Schizosaccharomyces pombe: one gene and its partners. Changing the gene in region 1 together with any one later gene gives a genetic interaction. Each region holds a gene or a part of one and is shown in the gene's direction. Other genes may lie near its edges.

What was found.
Region 2: mutations in swd3 (region 1) and ufd2 together harm fitness more than expected from each alone (negative genetic interaction), as found in Schizosaccharomyces pombe (2 studies listed by BioGRID).
Region 3: mutations in swd3 (region 1) and tma22 together harm fitness more than expected from each alone (negative genetic interaction), as found in Schizosaccharomyces pombe (2 studies listed by BioGRID).
Region 4: mutations in swd3 (region 1) and par1 together harm fitness more than expected from each alone (negative genetic interaction), as found in Schizosaccharomyces pombe (2 studies listed by BioGRID).

Annotation. Positions count from the first base shown.
Region 1 is NC_003423.3:546,507-550,729, forward strand, and holds swd3 (Set1C complex WD repeat protein Swd3), read left to right. Parts: upstream 1-1,857; 5' UTR 1,858-2,163; coding exon 2,164-3,306; 3' UTR 3,307-3,723; downstream 3,724-4,223. Other genes in the region: translocon alpha subunit Sec61, read right to left, coding at 84-116, 173-285, 339-406, 451-460; SPOM_SPBC354.04 (uncharacterized protein), read left to right, coding at 3,790-4,223. UniProt on the Schizosaccharomyces pombe protein: The Set1 complex specifically methylates 'Lys-4' of histone H3.
Region 2 is NC_003424.3:2,126,470-2,132,275, forward strand, and holds ufd2 (ubiquitin-protein ligase E4), read left to right. Parts: upstream 1-1,971; 5' UTR 1,972-1,993; coding exon 1,994-2,011; exon of another isoform or gene 2,012-2,019; intron 2,020-2,053; coding exon 2,054-2,797; intron 2,798-2,843; coding exon 2,844-5,040; intron 5,041-5,080; coding exon 5,081-5,154; 3' UTR 5,155-5,244; downstream 5,245-5,806. Other genes in the region: gih35 (ATP-dependent RNA helicase), read left to right, coding at 1-227, 264-1,035, 1,082-1,183, 1,232-1,400, 1,443-1,763, 1,802-1,890; Rho family GTPase Rho5, read right to left, coding at 5,426-5,806. UniProt on the Schizosaccharomyces pombe protein: E4 ubiquitin chain-elongation enzyme specifically involved in polyubiquitin chain assembly.
Region 3 is NC_003423.3:4,333,902-4,337,023, forward strand, and holds tma22 (mitochondrial translation initiation factor), read left to right. Parts: upstream 1-1,691; 5' UTR 1,692-1,717; coding exon 1,718-1,786; intron 1,787-1,839; coding exon 1,840-2,343; 3' UTR 2,344-2,579; downstream 2,580-3,122. Other genes in the region: protein Dbl6, read left to right, coding at 249-1,301; vacuolar protein sorting receptor vps10, read left to right, coding at 3,111-3,122.
Region 4 is NC_003421.2:1,473,983-1,478,663, forward strand, and holds par1 (serine/threonine protein phosphatase PP2A regulatory subunit B-56 Par1), read left to right. Parts: upstream 1-1,590; 5' UTR 1,591-1,794; coding exon 1,795-1,818; intron 1,819-1,861; coding exon 1,862-1,957; intron 1,958-1,997; coding exon 1,998-2,211; intron 2,212-2,542; coding exon 2,543-3,297; intron 3,298-3,349; coding exon 3,350-3,648; intron 3,649-3,737; coding exon 3,738-3,996; 3' UTR 3,997-4,121; downstream 4,122-4,681. Other genes in the region: condensin complex non-SMC subunit Cnd3, read left to right, coding at 4,322-4,681. UniProt on the Schizosaccharomyces pombe protein: The B regulatory subunit might modulate substrate selectivity and catalytic activity, and might also direct the localization of the catalytic enzyme to a particular subcellular compartment. Has a role in cell shape control and septum formation.

The DNA of each region.
Region 1 (4,223 bases):
TGAAAAATAAGGAAGTTAAAGAGTAATCTCTTGTCAGTGATGGTTACAATACCTTCACTCATCCATATTTCTTAAAAACATACCCTCGATTGGCAGCTAAAATCATACGTAGCCAGCTGAAAAAGTCATTAGCTTTAGAAAATTAAAATTTAAACAAAAATAATAGTCTTACAGCAAAGGATCCGAAGAGTCTGAAGAGACAATTCCATATAATGGTACTTGAGACATAACCAAAAAAATCAACAAGGTGACTCCAGTCCATAACATTTTTTGCTTGAAAGGGACCTAGATTCGATATTAGCTTTCGATGTCTCTTATGAGATACATATGCTACATACCTTTCGTTCGGGTGCAGCAATCTCCGGTAAGAATGGCGCGAAAGGCTTTACAAGGTCCAGAAATCGTACTGTATAGTGTTAGAAATCAATAAGAAATAAAGCATGGTCTTACAATCACTCATATTGTATAATTTAATTAGATTTCTGCCCAACTAAACTTGCTGGTTCTTGTTGACAGTGAAGTATCATACTGAGGTTTTGGTGGTGAATTAAATTAAGGCAGCAGAACGATGGAGATAACTATTCACTTAAATGCGATAACAAGTAAATATTTCGTTTCATTATATAGTTAATAAATACGCTATAATACCAGTATAAACATTTGTTGAAGCTGTAATGAATGCCTGAATTGCCCATTTAACAAGCGTTAGAGAAGTTTTTTAAGCCGATTAAAATTCAAAATAATAACTGCTGAAATGATTTTACTTCACATAGGGATTAAAAGGAGATGCGATTTCCATTACGACCCAGGCAACAAGGTTGACTAATAAATCAAGATCATTAATTTAATATGGAATAAGAAGGGAACTAAAGGCTATGATGAAAGGCTTAATATGTGTACCGATCTAAGATGCCAACTGTTTCACCAAAAAATGAAAACACAATATTGTTTTACCAATTTGTAATTGGGAGATTGGATCAAATAAATTGATTACCAATTCATGACCTCAACAAGTAATTCTAGTTGTTCATAAGTGTTAGCCTCTTTCTTGCAATTACTATCCACGTGATTTAGATGTTTCTGTGGAACAACAGCTATCTGGATAAAAAAACTTTGGGACAAACGAGAGTGAAACATTTTTAACTTAAATTATTTGCATCACTCTGAAAGTTATGAGTTGACTCATTCGAAGTCAGTTGAGAGATGAATCACAGACACTACTTATTGAGAACTTTAAGCAATGGAAAACTTGATATCGAAGGAGCTATCAAAGTCAATATTAATTGAATGAGGACATTATGCAAAGAACGTATTTTGGTTCATTATAAGGAAACCTCTTTTTAGTATCTTTCAAACAAGCAGGAGCTTCATGAATGCAAGGCCGGAGAGAAATTGGACTAGCCTACTCACAGACTAGAAGATTACAAAACTTCAAAGGATATGTCTCAGTACGAAGATCGTACCCTTAGCGCAAGAGTATTGAACCCTCGTCAAATTAGTGAGCAATATCAGAAAAAAGTTTTTGTATTAATTCCTTGTAAACTTTACGTTTCAGTAAAAGGAGCCTAGTCGTTCTTCTTCATTCCCTAAGCTTTTTCATAACTTCAATGCGTGAATTATTGTACAATTTGTAGTAAACTTCCATTTATTAAGTCTTTGAACTAAATGGCTTAAAAATGACAATATTCCTGAATATCCTTTGCAGAGTAGTTTTCGACGTGAATTGCGAGGAAAATGAACCTGTAAACTTTATTGAAGACGAGTCAAATTATTGAGTTATTTAATATAAGTCCAAAGAAAAGCGTTTTTTAAATAGTCATTATTGTGGTATGTTGCTAGTTGAATGTTATACACTTCGTTGTCCACACCAGTTACTGCTTGTGCATACAATAAAGCTGGATGCTTAAAAAATTGACTGGCATCATTGTAATTTTATAATCTACATATGCAAAAAGCCCATGAACTTTTTTTCTTGTACATAGACTCTAGAAAGAGGAAATAAATTGATCGATTTTACTATCAGACAAAGGCGTTTGTTTATGATTGTTGAGATCATTCAATAAACCTTTTAATACTTCCTGATACGATTTTTGTCTTTAGTCCATTTTTACGAGAAGTACAAACAATCGGTCTGATAATTTTTCACATATCGTATATTAGAAGATGGATTCCACAGCTCAACAATTTCCTTTGAACCACGACCTGCAAGTACAAAAAGACCAGAAAGGTGTTGTAGAGGAAGATGAGGAGCAAATACATAAGCGCATTCGCAATTATGAATCACATTCAGGATTCTCTGAATATTGTACTCTTTTCGGTCATGAGAAAAGTGTTACATGTGTCAGCGTTTCCCCTAACAAACGATGGATCGCTACCTCTTCATCCGATGGAACTATAAAGATTTGGAGCGCACTTACGTTTCGACTTGAATGTACACTTTTCGGCCACTACCGAGGAATATCTCAAGTAAAATGGGCAACTGGTAGTAAGTATCTAGCTAGCGCTTCTGACGATAAGACCATAAGGATTTGGGATTTTGAAAAACGGTGCAGTGTGAGATGTTTAAAAGGTCATACAAATTACGTTTCATCAATTGACTTTAATCCATTGGGCACGCTTTTGGTGTCAGGATCATGGGATGAGACTGTCCGTATATGGAATCTTCAAGATGGAACTTGCCTTAGGATGCTACCTGCACATTCAGAACCTATTATATCTGTTTCTATATCAGCTGACGGAACTTTATGTGCGACTGCTAGTTATGATGGAATGGCACGAATTTGGGATGTTCTCAGTGGCCAGTGTTTAAAAACATTAGTTGAACCCATTAATGTTCCTTTGTCTAATCTCCAGTTTACAGAAAATCGAAAATATCTGCTTGTAAGTAATCTTAACTCACAGATCCGTCTTTGGGATTATCGCCGAAACCGTGTGGTACGAATATTTGATAGCCACGTGAATACAAGATATTCTATGTCTTGGGATTGCTATTCTTCTAAAAATATTCCTAAAAATACTGAAGCTTTACCCAATAATGACTCTTCCTACCCTGATGATGCAGAATCTTTCATGCACGATGCTTATCTTTTAATTCCTAGTGAAGATGGAACAATCCAAATTACAGATCCGAGTACAAAAATAATTATTGACGATTCAATTAGGCATTCCGATGATCCAGAAACATCACTTTTAAATGTAACCAGTTTAGGTCCTTTCATAATCACATCAGGAACTGATCCTTATGTACGAGTTTGGGCTCCTTCTCTTCTATTGTCGAAGCACGAGAAAGATGGCTTTTCACCTTAACCTGAATTGTTGACAAATAATGTATAAAGTTTAAAGAAACTACTTGGAATTACGATGAAGATAATGATGCTAAAGGTTTACGTGCGAAAACAAGCTCCTTACTTCCAATCCAAAGGCTAGTTGGCCTATGAAAACTTAAGTGGATCGATACATAGAAGATAAAATTAATTTATACAGTCTTCGATTATTCTTTACAGAAGATTTCTCGAAGAACGAATGTCGGCCAAGTTGATATCCTGAAATTGATGGTTTTTCTAATTTTTCTCGTTTATTAAACCAGTTATATTCATTTTGTTACTAATTTTCATCATCTAGTTTAATTCGACAGATTTTAAAGGGAGATAAATTTTTTACTTTTTTTTCCTAATATTTATTCCTTTACCACTACTGATATTCTAATAAGGTAAAACTTTTTTCGAATTAAATCATTTGGCCGAGTCAAACTTAAAATAATTGAGAAAAAAACGTATTACCTGATTTTCAATGAGTGAAAACCCAGCACATAAGGATTTGGACAGTTTGCAGGTTGACGAGAAAGCAAAAAGTTGGATTGCTGAAAAAGTTGAAGAGGAGCTCCGAAGGTTAGAGTCAGTAGGTGCTAAAGCGATCCCCTTAGATGTTAAGAATTACAGTGTTATGTTAGATGAAGACACGGATACTGTGGTAAACAGAATTGAGTTGATGACTAGCTTCGACTTTGATCATGTTCAACAAATTCTTCTATCCGCCGTACAGCCCTATCCTTATGATAAAAACTTAATGTTTGTTTATTTGGTGATATTAACGCCTCTTCCACACCCTATGTTAATTCCATATTTGTTTGCACCCAAGGTCGTAGGCAAGAATCTACTACCCCGTGCTGACGGATTGGTAGAGAATACCTTGAAAAGATGGACATTCATTAATGATAAGCTCAA
Region 2 (5,806 bases), on another chromosome or scaffold:
GAACGAGTATCTTTGGAACTGAACTCTCCTCCTGGAAGTTTGTGTGGATATAGCATTCAATTTGATCATAACGTTTCTGAAAAAACAAAAATAAAATATATGACCGATGGAATCCTTTTGAATGAAATATTTTTTGATCCTTTGCTGGAAAGATATTCAATAGTCATTCTCGACGAAGTCCATGAACGAACTTTGTCGACAGATCTCCTACTAGGAGTTTTGAAAAGGTATTTAAATTTTCTATTCATAGCTGACAAATCAAGGATTTTAGAAAAGAGGAATGATTTTAGACTTGTGCTCTCCAGCGCTTCTGTTGACGCGAATAAACTGTCTCAGTTTTTCGGACAAGATAAAGTATGCACTATGTCAATTGAAGGGAAATTATTCCCCGTAGAAACATTATTTTTGCAGAAACCTACAGAAAATTACGTTGATTCTGCAATCGAAACGGTTATAAACATTAATTCAACCTATCCGCCTGGTGATATATTGGTTTTTCTTTCGGGAAGAAAAGAAATAGAATACTGTATAAAAAAGATTGAAGATTCCTTAATTCATGCTTCCGAAGACTGTCAAACTTTAGTTCCTTTACCTTTACATGCTGGTCTTACTGTTGACGAGCAAATGCGAGTTTTTAACATATATGATGGTGACTTCAGAAAAGTTATATTTTCTACGAATATTGCTGAGACTAGTATTACTATTGATGGCATAGTTTATGTCGTTGATTCAGGTTTTAATAAACAACGGATATACAACCCGTATACAAGGACTTCAAAATTGATTAACGTGCCTATATCTAAGTCAAGTGCTATACAGAGAAGTGGAAGAGCTGGAAGGACAATGAGGGGAAAGGTGTTCCGTCTATATACTGAAAAAGCTTACAGCTTGATGAAAGAAGAATTTGAAGCAGACATCTTAAATTGCGATATGTCACCGTTGGTGTTATTTTTGAAAGGTTTAGGGCTAAAAAACATACTTCAGTTTCCCTTTTTTGTCCGTCCTCCCACAGTTCACCTTATGGCGGCTCTAGAGGTTTGTGAATTTTATTATAGCCGGCAAACAACTAATTTTTTTGAAGGACCTCTATCTTTTAGGTGTCTTGGACGAAAGTGGAAATTTGACAGACCCACTTGGCATACAAATTTCCAACTCATTCTTGGATGCAAACATCTCCAAAGCTGTACGTACTCCCATATAGGAAATAAAGTACACGCTAACCCATCATTAGTTACTTACTTCCAACCAATTTGGTTGCACTCATGAAATTCTTTCAATTGCTTCAATACTTACAGCAGGCGAAGTATTTTATAATCCCACAAGTTCATCAAAGAATGATGCCTTCGTTGCCCATTCTTCTTTTTTTGCAAATGAAGGGGACATCATTACCGCATTAAATGGTATGCTTCATTAATAAAGTTTAAAAGTGTATTAACATTTAGTTTTTGAATCTTTTGTCGGTAACAAAAAAGATTTACAATGGTGCAGGAAAAATTATTTGAACTATCAAACTTTGCGCCAAGCCCTTGACATTCGCACTCATTTGGTTCGTTTTTTAAATAAATTTTCTATACCTACTGCTCAAAGATTACCATCCAGTGATTGTTCCAAAATTTTGAAATGCCTACTTGATGGTTTTGTGCGTAACGTCGCACATTTACAGAATGACGGCTCTTACAAAACAATAGGAGGAAAGCAGGTTTGGTTAGACTCTAGTAGTGTACTTCATGAAAAAAAAACACCATGGATCATGTATTCTTCAGGTAAGCCTATTTGTTATAAGACTATTTTAACGTTTTAGCTGTCGAATCAGAAACTCAAATATTCGTGAAGAATATTTCTAAAATAGAAAGTTTTTGGCTGGATAAATACTATAAACGAGAAAAATAATATATGTTAATACAATTTCATGTTACCGGTTTAGCATAGTAAGTTTTGGTAGTTAAAACATATGTTGACCTCACTTCCACCAACTTGCTCAATCCACCCCATTATGAGTGATTTGGAAAAGGTAAGAGAAAAATTTCAGCTAATTGCTAATATTGGCCCATAGATTCGTCTTAAAAGGCTTGCTAAATTGCAGCAGACCAATTCGGAGGCAAATTCTTCTAAAGAACCTAAGGAAAGCAATATTGCACCTGAACCTAAAAAACCTGATTTAAAAAAGAGATTTATTGGTTCAAAGGCTACAACATCAAATTCAGAACAAAAAGAAATATCTCCACCTGTTACATCTGGTGCTCCAAAACATCGCTTGTTTTCTAAGGATGAATGGATGCATTTTATAACATGTCAGGCTCTTAATATTACATTAAGTGAAACTGATTCATCAAAATACTATTTAGAAGGTTTTAAAAAAGATTTAGAAGAAGAGGGATCCCCTTTATTATTTAATGAGAATAATGTTGACTCTGCGTTACTCTCTCGACTGTCAACAACTGGCAACAATACTTTCTCTTATTTGTTACAGTCTTGGAGTTTTCTGTATCAGTATAAAAAGAGACTTCCGAAGGATGAAAACCAGGACTTTAAAATTCACTATTTATCTCTGTTAAAAAGTTTGCTTGTCAGTTATGCCGGTATTGTAGTAATGCTTCCTGACACATTCAATTCGGAGACAATTGATTTGGCCGAGGTTTTAATTGGTGCAGAAGGTATACCTTTGGAATTTCTATCAGAATTTGTTCAGAGGTTTGAACACGAAAACTTAGATGAATTGTTTATTCCTGTGTTGGAATCTTTATCTTTGAAAATTGGTCTTATGAATGTAGATACTGTTCAAATGAATGTGATGCAGGTATGAACATCAATTTTTATCTTTTAGCATAAACTGATATTTTTAGATTATATTACAACTTGTGTCATTAAAACCAATTGCATTACTTTTGCCGAAGTTGCCTTCTTGGAATCCTACGAATAATGCTGGAGAAATTGAGTACAAAACGTTTCTTGGAAGAATATCAAGCTTGTCAGTGTTTACTCAAGATGTCGCTTCTCGATATTTTTCCAATTCTACTGAGAGATCAGCCCAAAATATATCTTCGTCAATAAGTTCTTTAAAATTGACTATGTCTACTTATCAGGATGTCCTTTTTCAAATTTTCAATACCCTCATTCGAACATCTACATCTTTGAGAGAGTCTGTGTTGGATTTCTTTGCCATGGTGGTAAATGCCAATCACAAGCGACAATCCATTCAAGTTAATCATTTTGATATTACATCTGACGCCTGCATGCTAAATTTTTCACATGTGTTAAGCAGACTTTCTGAACCATTTCTTGACATAGGATGTTCGAAAATTGACAGAGTACAAGTTGAATATTTTAGGAGAAACCCTCGCGTTGATATCAAAGAAGAGACTAAATTGAATGCTGATCAAAAGGCTTCGGAATCGTTTTATTCAAAACCAGCCGAGGGTTCCAATAACTTTATTTCAGACATATTTTTTTTAAATCTCGCATTTCATCATTATGGTGTAAATGCTACCTTTAAGGCTTTAGAGCAACTTGTGCAATCAATTCGTGATAGCGAGAAACTGAAAGAAAGATTAGAGACTGAACAGCAAAATATGAGCGGTAGTTTTCAAGCGACACGTCTCACTGCTCAATTAAGTCGGCTTGATCAAAGATTGGATTTAGATAGATCGTTTGTGCACTGTTATGAGATTATGCTTACGCAGACATCTGATACTTCAAGATCATTTTCTTTTCTTAATTTCGTTGCCATTTGGTTATCGAGGTTAGCTGATGGTCAATCTTCGACATATCCAAAAATGCCGCTATCGTTACCGTTTAATGAAAATGCACCGGAAGCTTTCAAATGTTTACCTGAATATTTTATTGAAACCATTACAGATTATATGTTGTCTTTATTTAAAACCTCGTCGAGTACTTTGACGCTGCATTCCTTAGAGCCTTTGTGTGAATTTTGTGTGTCGTTTCTAACTCAAGCTAATTATATCAAAAATCCTTATTTGCGAGCGAAACTTGCCGAGATTTTATACTTTGGAGTGCAAACGCACGTGGGAAGATCAGAATTGTTGTTAGATGTTGTACGTACGTCGAAGGTTGCAACAAGGTGGTTACTTCCAGCACTTATGGCGTTTTATATTGAGATTGAATCTACAGGACAATCTACCCAATTTTATGATAAATTCAACATTCGTTTCTATATATGCGAAGTATTTAGAACTATTTGGAAGCAACCAGCCTATTTTGGTAAGCTGGAGCAGGAGCAAAAAACAAATTTGCCGTTTTTTGTTAAATTTGTAGCTCTCATGCTTAATGATGCTACATATCTTCTTGATGAGGCTCTTTTAAAACTAACCGAGATTCACAACCTTCAGAGCCTTTTGGCAGATGCAATAAGCAATAGCAACTCTAACCAGAATGTTCAAGAATCGCAAAGCAACTTAGCGGCCGCAGAACGTCAAGCTTCTACTTATTGCCAGTTAGGGAATGAAACTATTTTTATGCTCAAATTGTTCACTTCCTCAATTCCTAAAGCCTTTTGTGCCGTTGAAATTGTAGATCGGTTGGCAGCTATGCTAAACTATAACCTTCAAGCTTTATGTGGCCCTAAGTGTAGTAACCTCAAGGTAGAGGACCCAACGAAATATCATTTTAATGCAAAAACCCTTTTGTCGATTATTTTCGATGTTTATCTTAACCTGTGCAATGAACCTGCATTTGTCGAAGCTGTTGCTCACGATGGCCGTTCTTATAGTAAAGAAATATTTGAACGTGCGACTAGCATTATGACTAAGCACAACCTCAAGTCATCTTTTGATATAGAAGCTATTAAAGAATTTGTGAATAGGGTAGAGGCATTCAGATTGCAAGAGGCTACTGAAGAGGAAGACATGGGTGATATTCCTGACTACTTCTTAGATCCTCTTATGTTTACAATAATGAAAGATCCTGTTGTTTTACCGAGATCTGGCATTTCGATTGATAGGTCTACTATTAAAGCACATCTACTAAGTGATGCCACCGACCCATTTAATCGAACTCCATTAACGCTTGATGATGTGACACCGAGTAAGTTTTTTTTTTCCACTGTTAGTTACTAATTCTTTAGATGATACATTACGTGAGGAAATTAACACGTTCCTGAAATCAAAACGCAACAAACATTCGCGAAATAGTGAATGAATATAACTGTGTTTATACTAGTTTTTTAATGAAAGGCTTCGATAAGTTTAAATAAAAGATTAGACAATTAATTACTATGAAATATTTAAACATTCATGGAAACTCATTAGGTAATGATTCGAAGGATAAAAAACTTGGTGTACGGTACCACAAAGGTTAAGCTCGTAAAATAATTCCTTTGCACAAGAGGATAAATGAATATAGTGAATCTAACAATACAGAATGTAATTAATAGAACGCTCTTATACACCATAACAGAGATTGCATTTCATCAGAGTAAGATACAGTGCTTCTTCTTTTTTGTCTTCGGTACACTAGCAGGCTTAAATTTAAGCATGGAAGCACGAGCTGCAGTCTCAAAAACCTCATTGACCCCTTCGTTCAATTTCGCTGAACATTCGAGATACTTATAGGCGCCAATCTTTTGAGCTACTACCTGTCCTTCTTCAAATGTGATAGGCTTCTGTGAGGTTTTGGAGAGCTCTTCGATTGTTTTTGGATCGTTTCGTAAATCCACTTTACACCCAACTAGCAAAATGGGTAAATTGGAGCAGAAGTGAAGAACTTCAGAAATCCATTTTTCTTGAACATTGTCCAAACTCTCTGGAGCATCAACTGAAAAACAAATCAAAACGACGTGAGAGTCTGGATA
Region 3 (3,122 bases), 3.8 Mb from region 1:
GATTAAGTTAATTTCTGTTAAGCTTTACTATGAGAATGGTGATTTGAATCCTCTTTTGGAATTAACTATGTTTAAGCTTATGTTTTGTACTGCTCCCGAGATCTTAACTGAAGCCTATCGTCACCTCGTCAATACGAATTTTTTTCAATTGTAAAGCATATGCAATAAAATATAGAATGATTATTTAATATAGGGCCTTTATATTATTTTTAAGTCTTTGTGGTATTTTGTAGGGATATACTGTCGAAATGGATTCATTTCATCCAACACCTGGAAAACCGACCACAGCAACATCAAATTCAAGTCTGAACTTTTTTGTAAGAAACAGAGAGAAAAGTATTAGGTGCTCAAGCTTGCATCAAACTTTTACAGCCCCTTCTCCTGAAGCTTCACCGTCAATCGGATTAAGATATGTAAATTACTCAATGAGCGACGAAACTGATGAATCTATGTTTCCACTTGATTCAGAACTGACCGATATGGAAGATGATGATACCGAGTACATATCAGACTCTACAACAGACTTGCCGTCCGCTGCCATGGCTAGAGGAACTAGGCAGTTGAGTTACAATGAAAATTTGGATCAGCGTTCGTTTTCTAAGACTCCAAATAAACATATTGAAGTAAAAAATTTAAAGGACCTTTGTAGTCCCTCTCATTCTGGAAGAATTTCGAAATCTTTGTGTCCTGTGTTACGAAGAAAGTCTTTGCTTCCCAAACCGAAAATGTTCCAACGCGTAGCCAGTGCCTTGTATGAAGAATCATCTCCTCTGGAGTTGGAAATCCGTAGTGAATCGGAATTTTCCAAGATGTTTTTCGAGCCTAAAAAATCATCATCCTTTGTTTCTAGAGCTGCTTCGCCTGCAATGGTAGGTCCGGGTGTACCGTTTTACAGTTCTATAACAGGTGCAAATGGTAATGTTCTCGCACCATCAGGATCTTTGAAAGCTGTTGAGAACTCTGATGTAATTGAGTCATCTGCAGAGGACAGTAGTAATACGGACAATCCATCTACTAAGCCTTCGAATGAGATGCCCATATCTCCTCTGCTTTCCAGTTCTGTATTTTTTAAGGATACAGAAATGTCAACTCCGAATAGCAATCACTCCAGATCCCGTACCCCATCCTCGAAAAAGCGAACTCGATGGGGCGAAGAAATAATCGACTTATCGAAGAGAAGAGCTGTATCTCCTTCCATTTATTATGATTTGGATAAGAAATGCTCTCCTATTCATTCTGTTATGGTCAGCCCCTTGAAGATTAAGGATACTCACGAAGTCTTGATGAATTTAAAGTTATGAACTAGCTCACGCTGCGAAGTGTGTATTTATTTGTACAATAATTGAATAATTAATTTCCTATCTTTTTACGCAACTTATTTTGTAGTAGCTTTTTATCATGTTGAATCTAGTTTACAATGTTACAGCGCCGTTATTTTTATTACTCTTTATAAAGAACAGCTTGTTATCATATCATTGTTTTGATATGTAAACAAAAGTCCTAAAAATCCGTTTACGGTTTCAGCAGCATAACATTATATTCTAAAATTTAAAACGACTTGAGATGTGAATTACTTTTTATTTAACGAATAACTTACAGCTTTTAAGCATATTTTACTCTCATAGTATATTTAGGCTTCGCCTCTTTGAATCTCGCTTTCTATTTTCGTTCCCCCAGGTAGTCTCTACTTTAACCTATACTGCAAGAAACTCAAATAATGGCTTCACAAACCATCCCGAAGTTAAAATCAGTATTATACTGCGATGTTTGTACATTGCCCGTGGAAGTACGTAATAAACAACTTGTTTTATAATTATATTAACTATGAATGCGTTGTAGTACTGCGAATTTGAGGGCACTTTAAAAAAATGTAAAGAATGGCTTAAATCATCTCACCCGGACGTTTATGATAAATTGTACGGTGAGCAAGACTTAAGCAAAGACCTTGAAAACACTCTGAATGTTAGCGGAACTAAAGATTCTAATGCAGAAGAACAACCGGCAAAATTGACGAAGGAGGAAAAGCGCGTTGAGCGTGAAGAAGCCAAACGTATGGCATCCAAGGTTTTGATAAAAACCATTGAAAGAACTAAAAGAAAGAGAGTCACCACAGTTCAAGGTCTTGACGCATTTGGGATCGAAACGAAAAAAGCTGCTAAGATGTTGGCCAACAAGTTCGCGACCGGAGCCAGTGTCACTAAAACAGCTGATAAGAAGGATGAAATTGTTGTACAGGGTGATTTGAATTATGATATATTTGATTTTATTTTGGAAAAGTTTAAAGAGGTTCCGGAAGACAATATTAAAATTGTCGAAGATACGAAATCTAAGAAGAAGCAGTAATCTTAATTTTTATTTTTTAAAAATACTACTAAGTATGCTATTTTTGGGGCTATTTTATCATAAACTGTCTTGTACAATCTTGTACAACCTAATTTTCTGTTAAATGGTTGCACAGTTAGGATACCGGTTTTTAATAATTTATTGAGACTCATGTTTTTTAATGTTTCTATATAAAAAATGCCTAATTATCAATATTTTACAATTTATTGCCTGTTGTATTAGTATGATGATTTGAAGTCACCATTTGTTTACTTACATTTCATTGCCAAGGCTATAGAGTAGTATTAGCATTCGTTGTGTATGCCATGAATTTCTTAGCAGTTAAAAATTGAAATTGTGTTTCTTTACGCCTTTTTGGACGTTATCAGCATACAAAATAAGGCAGCTTAGTAGTTCATTAAGAAAATGTTGTCTTGAATGTAGGAATAAATTATATTTTGACAAAGTAATCGATTCTACAAAGAATGCTGTGATCATTGTCACCTTTTTAAATTTGATAAAATTGATTTACTATGCAAATAGTTGTAGCTTCATTATTAACTAAGAAGAACCGTGATAATAACATTACTCAGTAGCTAGTTCTTCAGTGTACTTAACTTTCAGGGGACAGGATTTTAATATCGATACAAACACTTAAGAGATCCGAATGCGTATTTCGTTATTGAAGTTTTTGAGTCATTTGCGTTGAGGCGCATTAAGCAATGCTGATGGGGAAGTTGACGATTTCACCATTCGAACATTGCCAAAAGCAACGAAGTTGAGGAATTATGTTTTTTTTG
Region 4 (4,681 bases), on another chromosome or scaffold:
AAAATGTATTCAAAATACAGCATTATTGTCAAAAGAAGACGAAAACTCAAAAATTTTTTTAAGTTAAAAGACAATGGAAAATGGAAGCACTCCATTTTCCATTTTCACGCTGTCTGTAATTCACCAATCCATCGTAATGATGGAAGCTTGAACAAGCTAGTTAATTGTTATGTATGTTTTTCCTCATACATTGGAAGTTAGACTATGAATAGAAATAATAACTGGACTATACCTCTTTAGAAACAAATACAACAAAAAGCAAAAAGAATAAAAGGAAGCCTACAGCACCCCGGATTCCCATGTTGTCTCCAACCATAGTACTAACGAGGCCCTCAGACGCTTAACTGCAGTGATCGGACGGGAACTGGTGTTTTCACCTAGGTATGGCCGTAGACATTTGTTGTGTTAAATAATAGTATTTATTCTGTTATTCAAGTAGGTTAACTAGTGAGTAGTTCATAGAAAAATAACTTGAGAAATGACAATCTTGATATGAATGATCATTGAAATAATTTGAAAACTAAAAAAAAAAAATTGTTCAGATTGATAGGAATGCTACGTTAACAAAAATTGACGATTTACTCGCTCGTACAAAATTGATTTTTATATGCATTCTCAAGTCTAGTGAACTCAACAGCATCTATTCCCTGCGATGCTATTCCTAGTACGAGAATAGGAGTAGTTCACTCGAATGTCTCGTTTCATTGGGGTAGGGAAGGAAACACTTATATATTTACCATACTTTAGTATTTTTATTCGTAACTCTTTTCAAGGAATTTTTTTCAATCCAGTATCATTAGTGCTGTGTCTAAATAAAGAATAAATACCAATTTCAAACCAGTCAATGCATTCGTTTTCGCAACCCACCCACTAGCCTAAGCTATGAAGCCTCAAAAATAATTTGGCGTACAGACATTTTAATCAACATTAAGCTTCACAATAAAATGTCAACGAATGTTTAGTAAAAAGACATTCTGACTATTAACAATTAAAAGACACTACATTTTGTAAAATATATATTATGTACTTAATCTCGTAATGAACAAGCAAGTCCCGAGTGGCTCAATCGGTTTAGAGCGTCTGACTCTTATGATGGTCATCAGAAGGTTGCGAGTTCGAGTCTCGCCTTGGGAGTTAGTTTTTACATTTTTGAGAAATGAGATGCACCGATCACTGACTCAAAGGTTTTGTAAAATAAAGGCTTCATTTAAATTTTCGTTCTTGTATAAAGTAGAAATCAACTGCGAACCCTAAAATGTAACGACCGATAGATCCATACTGTTAGCACGTTGCTGTAAATTTTTTAACTTATTGGGAGATTATGAAATGAGATTGATGTTAGAAAGCTTATAAGCAACATATACAATTACGCTTTTTTTCAGAAATTTGGGTAAGTATCATTTATTTTCTTTGTTTATTGTCAAACCCACTTTCCGATGTACATTAAAGAATCGTTAAATAAAATTACGACCTTTTGTACTTTCGTAGCTTCACGTACCGGTACATTAAACAAAATTTTCAAGTGGTGTTATGTTTCGTTATGTGTGTTTGCTACACGGTATTTCCTCGACCGGATCTCCACCTGTCGGTACATTCCAAAAAAGCAGTAAAAGTGTTAAATTCTCAGAAAGCGGCTGAATTTTCTTCGAAAATTTTGCTATTTAGAAGCGCCTTTACGGTTATATAAGAGCTGCTAAACAGCTTCAAATTGAACTCCCTTTGTCTCCAAATTTGTAGGCTTGTTTTGAAAGCTTCAAAGAAGAAAGGGTTGGAGCGCTCCAAATAGCCCTCAAGATGAAAGGGATTAAAAGCAAAATGGTAAGATCCATATCTAGTGTTTATTTGATTAACCAGAATCTAGCTTTCTCGAGGGAAATCTCAAGATACCCAGAAGTCTAGCAAGAAGAAGGAAAGCAAAAAATCGAATTCCCATGACTCTAGCAAGGCTCCGAAAGAGGTACGGAAAAGGTTTTTACTTACTTTTAACATTTTCATAGTCTCCCTCGACGGATCCCAATGGTTCTGTGATTGGTGCCCAAAACGACTTTCTTACTGTTCCAAAACATTCAGGAAAGAAAGTACCTATTGATACCACACCAACTCCTAGAGATGAGATCTTATTAGAGAATGTCAGGACTGTTCGTAAACAACGTTCATCCCTTTACCATATATCTGAAAATCGAAACCTGGTCCGTCTTCCATCCTTTACTGGTATGTTTTATGGATACACTTCATTGATTGTTTTAAGTAGTTATAAAAGATTTTGTTTCTTATTAGAATGTCATGAAATTGGATGGTGTTCAATGCGGCACATGCTGGTGTCGCTTGTGGATTTACTGTTCAGCTTGATGTGTCTGATATCGAAAAAGGAATCCTTCCATTTTTTCTCACATTTCATTTTATTTTACTAAGAGATGATTTAAACCACAAACATTGAATAGGATTTTCTTTCTGATTTAATGTACTTGGTGTTGACAAACACTGAGGTGTTATCAATATACTTTGTTGTCAACCAATTTAATTTACTAACCTGTCTATTTAGATGTTCCTGTTAATAAATGGCACTCTCTGGCGTTGGAAAAATTAGAACAATGTTGCGTTGTTTTCGATTTCAACGATCCCTCCACCGATCTTTACGGAAAAGAAGTGAAGCGAGAGGCTCTTCAAGATCTCATTGATTTAATATCTGTTCGAAAGGAAGCAATTGATGAGTCATTGTATCCATCCATTGTTCATATGTTTGCAGTAAATGTGTTTCGTCCTTTACCTCCTCCTTCTAATCCTCCCGGTGAAATCATGGATCTTGAAGAAGATGAGCCGGCTTTGGAAGTTGCTTGGCCCCATCTTCACCTTGTTTACGATTTTTTCTTAAGATTTTTTGAATCTCCGTCTTTGAATACATCCGTAGCCAAGGTGTATATTAATCAAAAATTTATTAGGAAATTACTTGTATTGTTCGACAGCGAAGATCCTAGGGAACGTGATTTTCTAAAGACTACACTTCATAGAATATACGGAAAGTTTCTTTCTCTTCGTGCGTTCATAAGGCGCTCAATTAATAATTTATTTTTGCAGTTTGTCTATGAGAACGAGCAATTTAATGGTATTGCCGAACTGTTGGAAATCCTCGGGAGTATCATTAATGGATTTGCCCTACCACTAAAAGAGGAACACAAAATATTCTTGTCACGTGTTCTTATTCCTTTACATAAAGCCAAATCCCTTCCCCTTTATTACCCTCAAATTGCTTATGGAATTGTTCAATTTGTTGAAAAGGATTCATCTGTTACAGAAGAGGTATGTATATTTCCTAGTGTTTCTTACGTTTTATCTAACGATGACAATATAGGTTGTCTTGGGCTTACTTCGATACTGGCCGAAAGTAAATAGCTCAAAAGAAGTCTTATTTTTAAATGAAATTGAAGATATTATTGAAGTGATGGAACCTTCAGAGTTTTTAAAGATCCAGGTGCCGCTCTTCCACAAGTTGGCAACATCCATATCTAGCCAAAATTTCCAAGTTGCTGAAAGAGCTTTATATTTTTTTAACAACGACTATTTCGTGCATTTGGTTGAAGAAAACGTTGACATTATACTACCAATTATATATCCCGCACTCTTTGAAATTTCAAAAAGTCACTGGAATAGGTAAGTAGTTACTCATTTAAAATCCCTTTTTATTTTCTTTATTTAAGATAAAGAAAGTGGTTTATTAGTTCTTGCTGACGTTTTGTTAGAGTTATACATTCTATGGTTTGTAACGTCTTAAAATTGTTCATGGACATTAATCCTTCTTTATTCGATGAAGTTGATGCTGAGTATTCTGAGAGTCGTCGGAAAAAAGAAGATGAAGAAATTATACGAGAAGAAAGATGGACTATACTAGAAAACATCGCTAAAGAGAATGCTATGAAACTTAAATCTCAAAACCCTACTACTGTGCACTCTACTACTGAGAGACTAAAAAAACTTTCACTTGACTACACCAATGGTTAGGACTTGCATATTTTAATAATGATCCATATATTGTACTTAGTCTCTAATATTCCCTCTTTTACATTTTACATACTATATCATTTTCAGTTAGTATTTCCTTTTCTTTTAATTGATTGTAATAAAATATAAATCGGTAACTTGGTAGCAATCTTCTTTTCAAATTGAATGTTGCAATCTCAAGTGGGCCTAAGCTAGAAGGGTTCATTTTTTTGTTTGCATACCCCAGCTTAACCTACCACTGAGAGCCAACTGTAGGTATGCCAGTGAGGTGCTCCTCAACTTCAGCAAAAGCACTAAAATTGGCATAATATAATTGTTATTGAATATGTCTTGCATTCAAATTATTTCATCTAGTCAAACTTCAATTGCTGGTCATAGAAAGCTATGCAACAAATTGTTTACCCTACGGACGCAGGAAGGATTTGAAACCGACATCCTAAGGGCGCTAAATATTATATTAACTGTTAAAAAAGGAAACTCAAATGCTGACCGCGTTTTGAGGTTCCTAGTAACCTTTGTTAATTACCTTCAGCAGAAGGATCCTGAGATAGACATTGTTCAACCTATCTTAAAACATATACTTCGTGGGTTAGATGCCAAAGATAAAACTGTAAGATATCGTTGCTGCCAAATTATTGCCAGAGTGGTTAATTGTGTAAAAGAAATTGATGATGACCTTTACAAT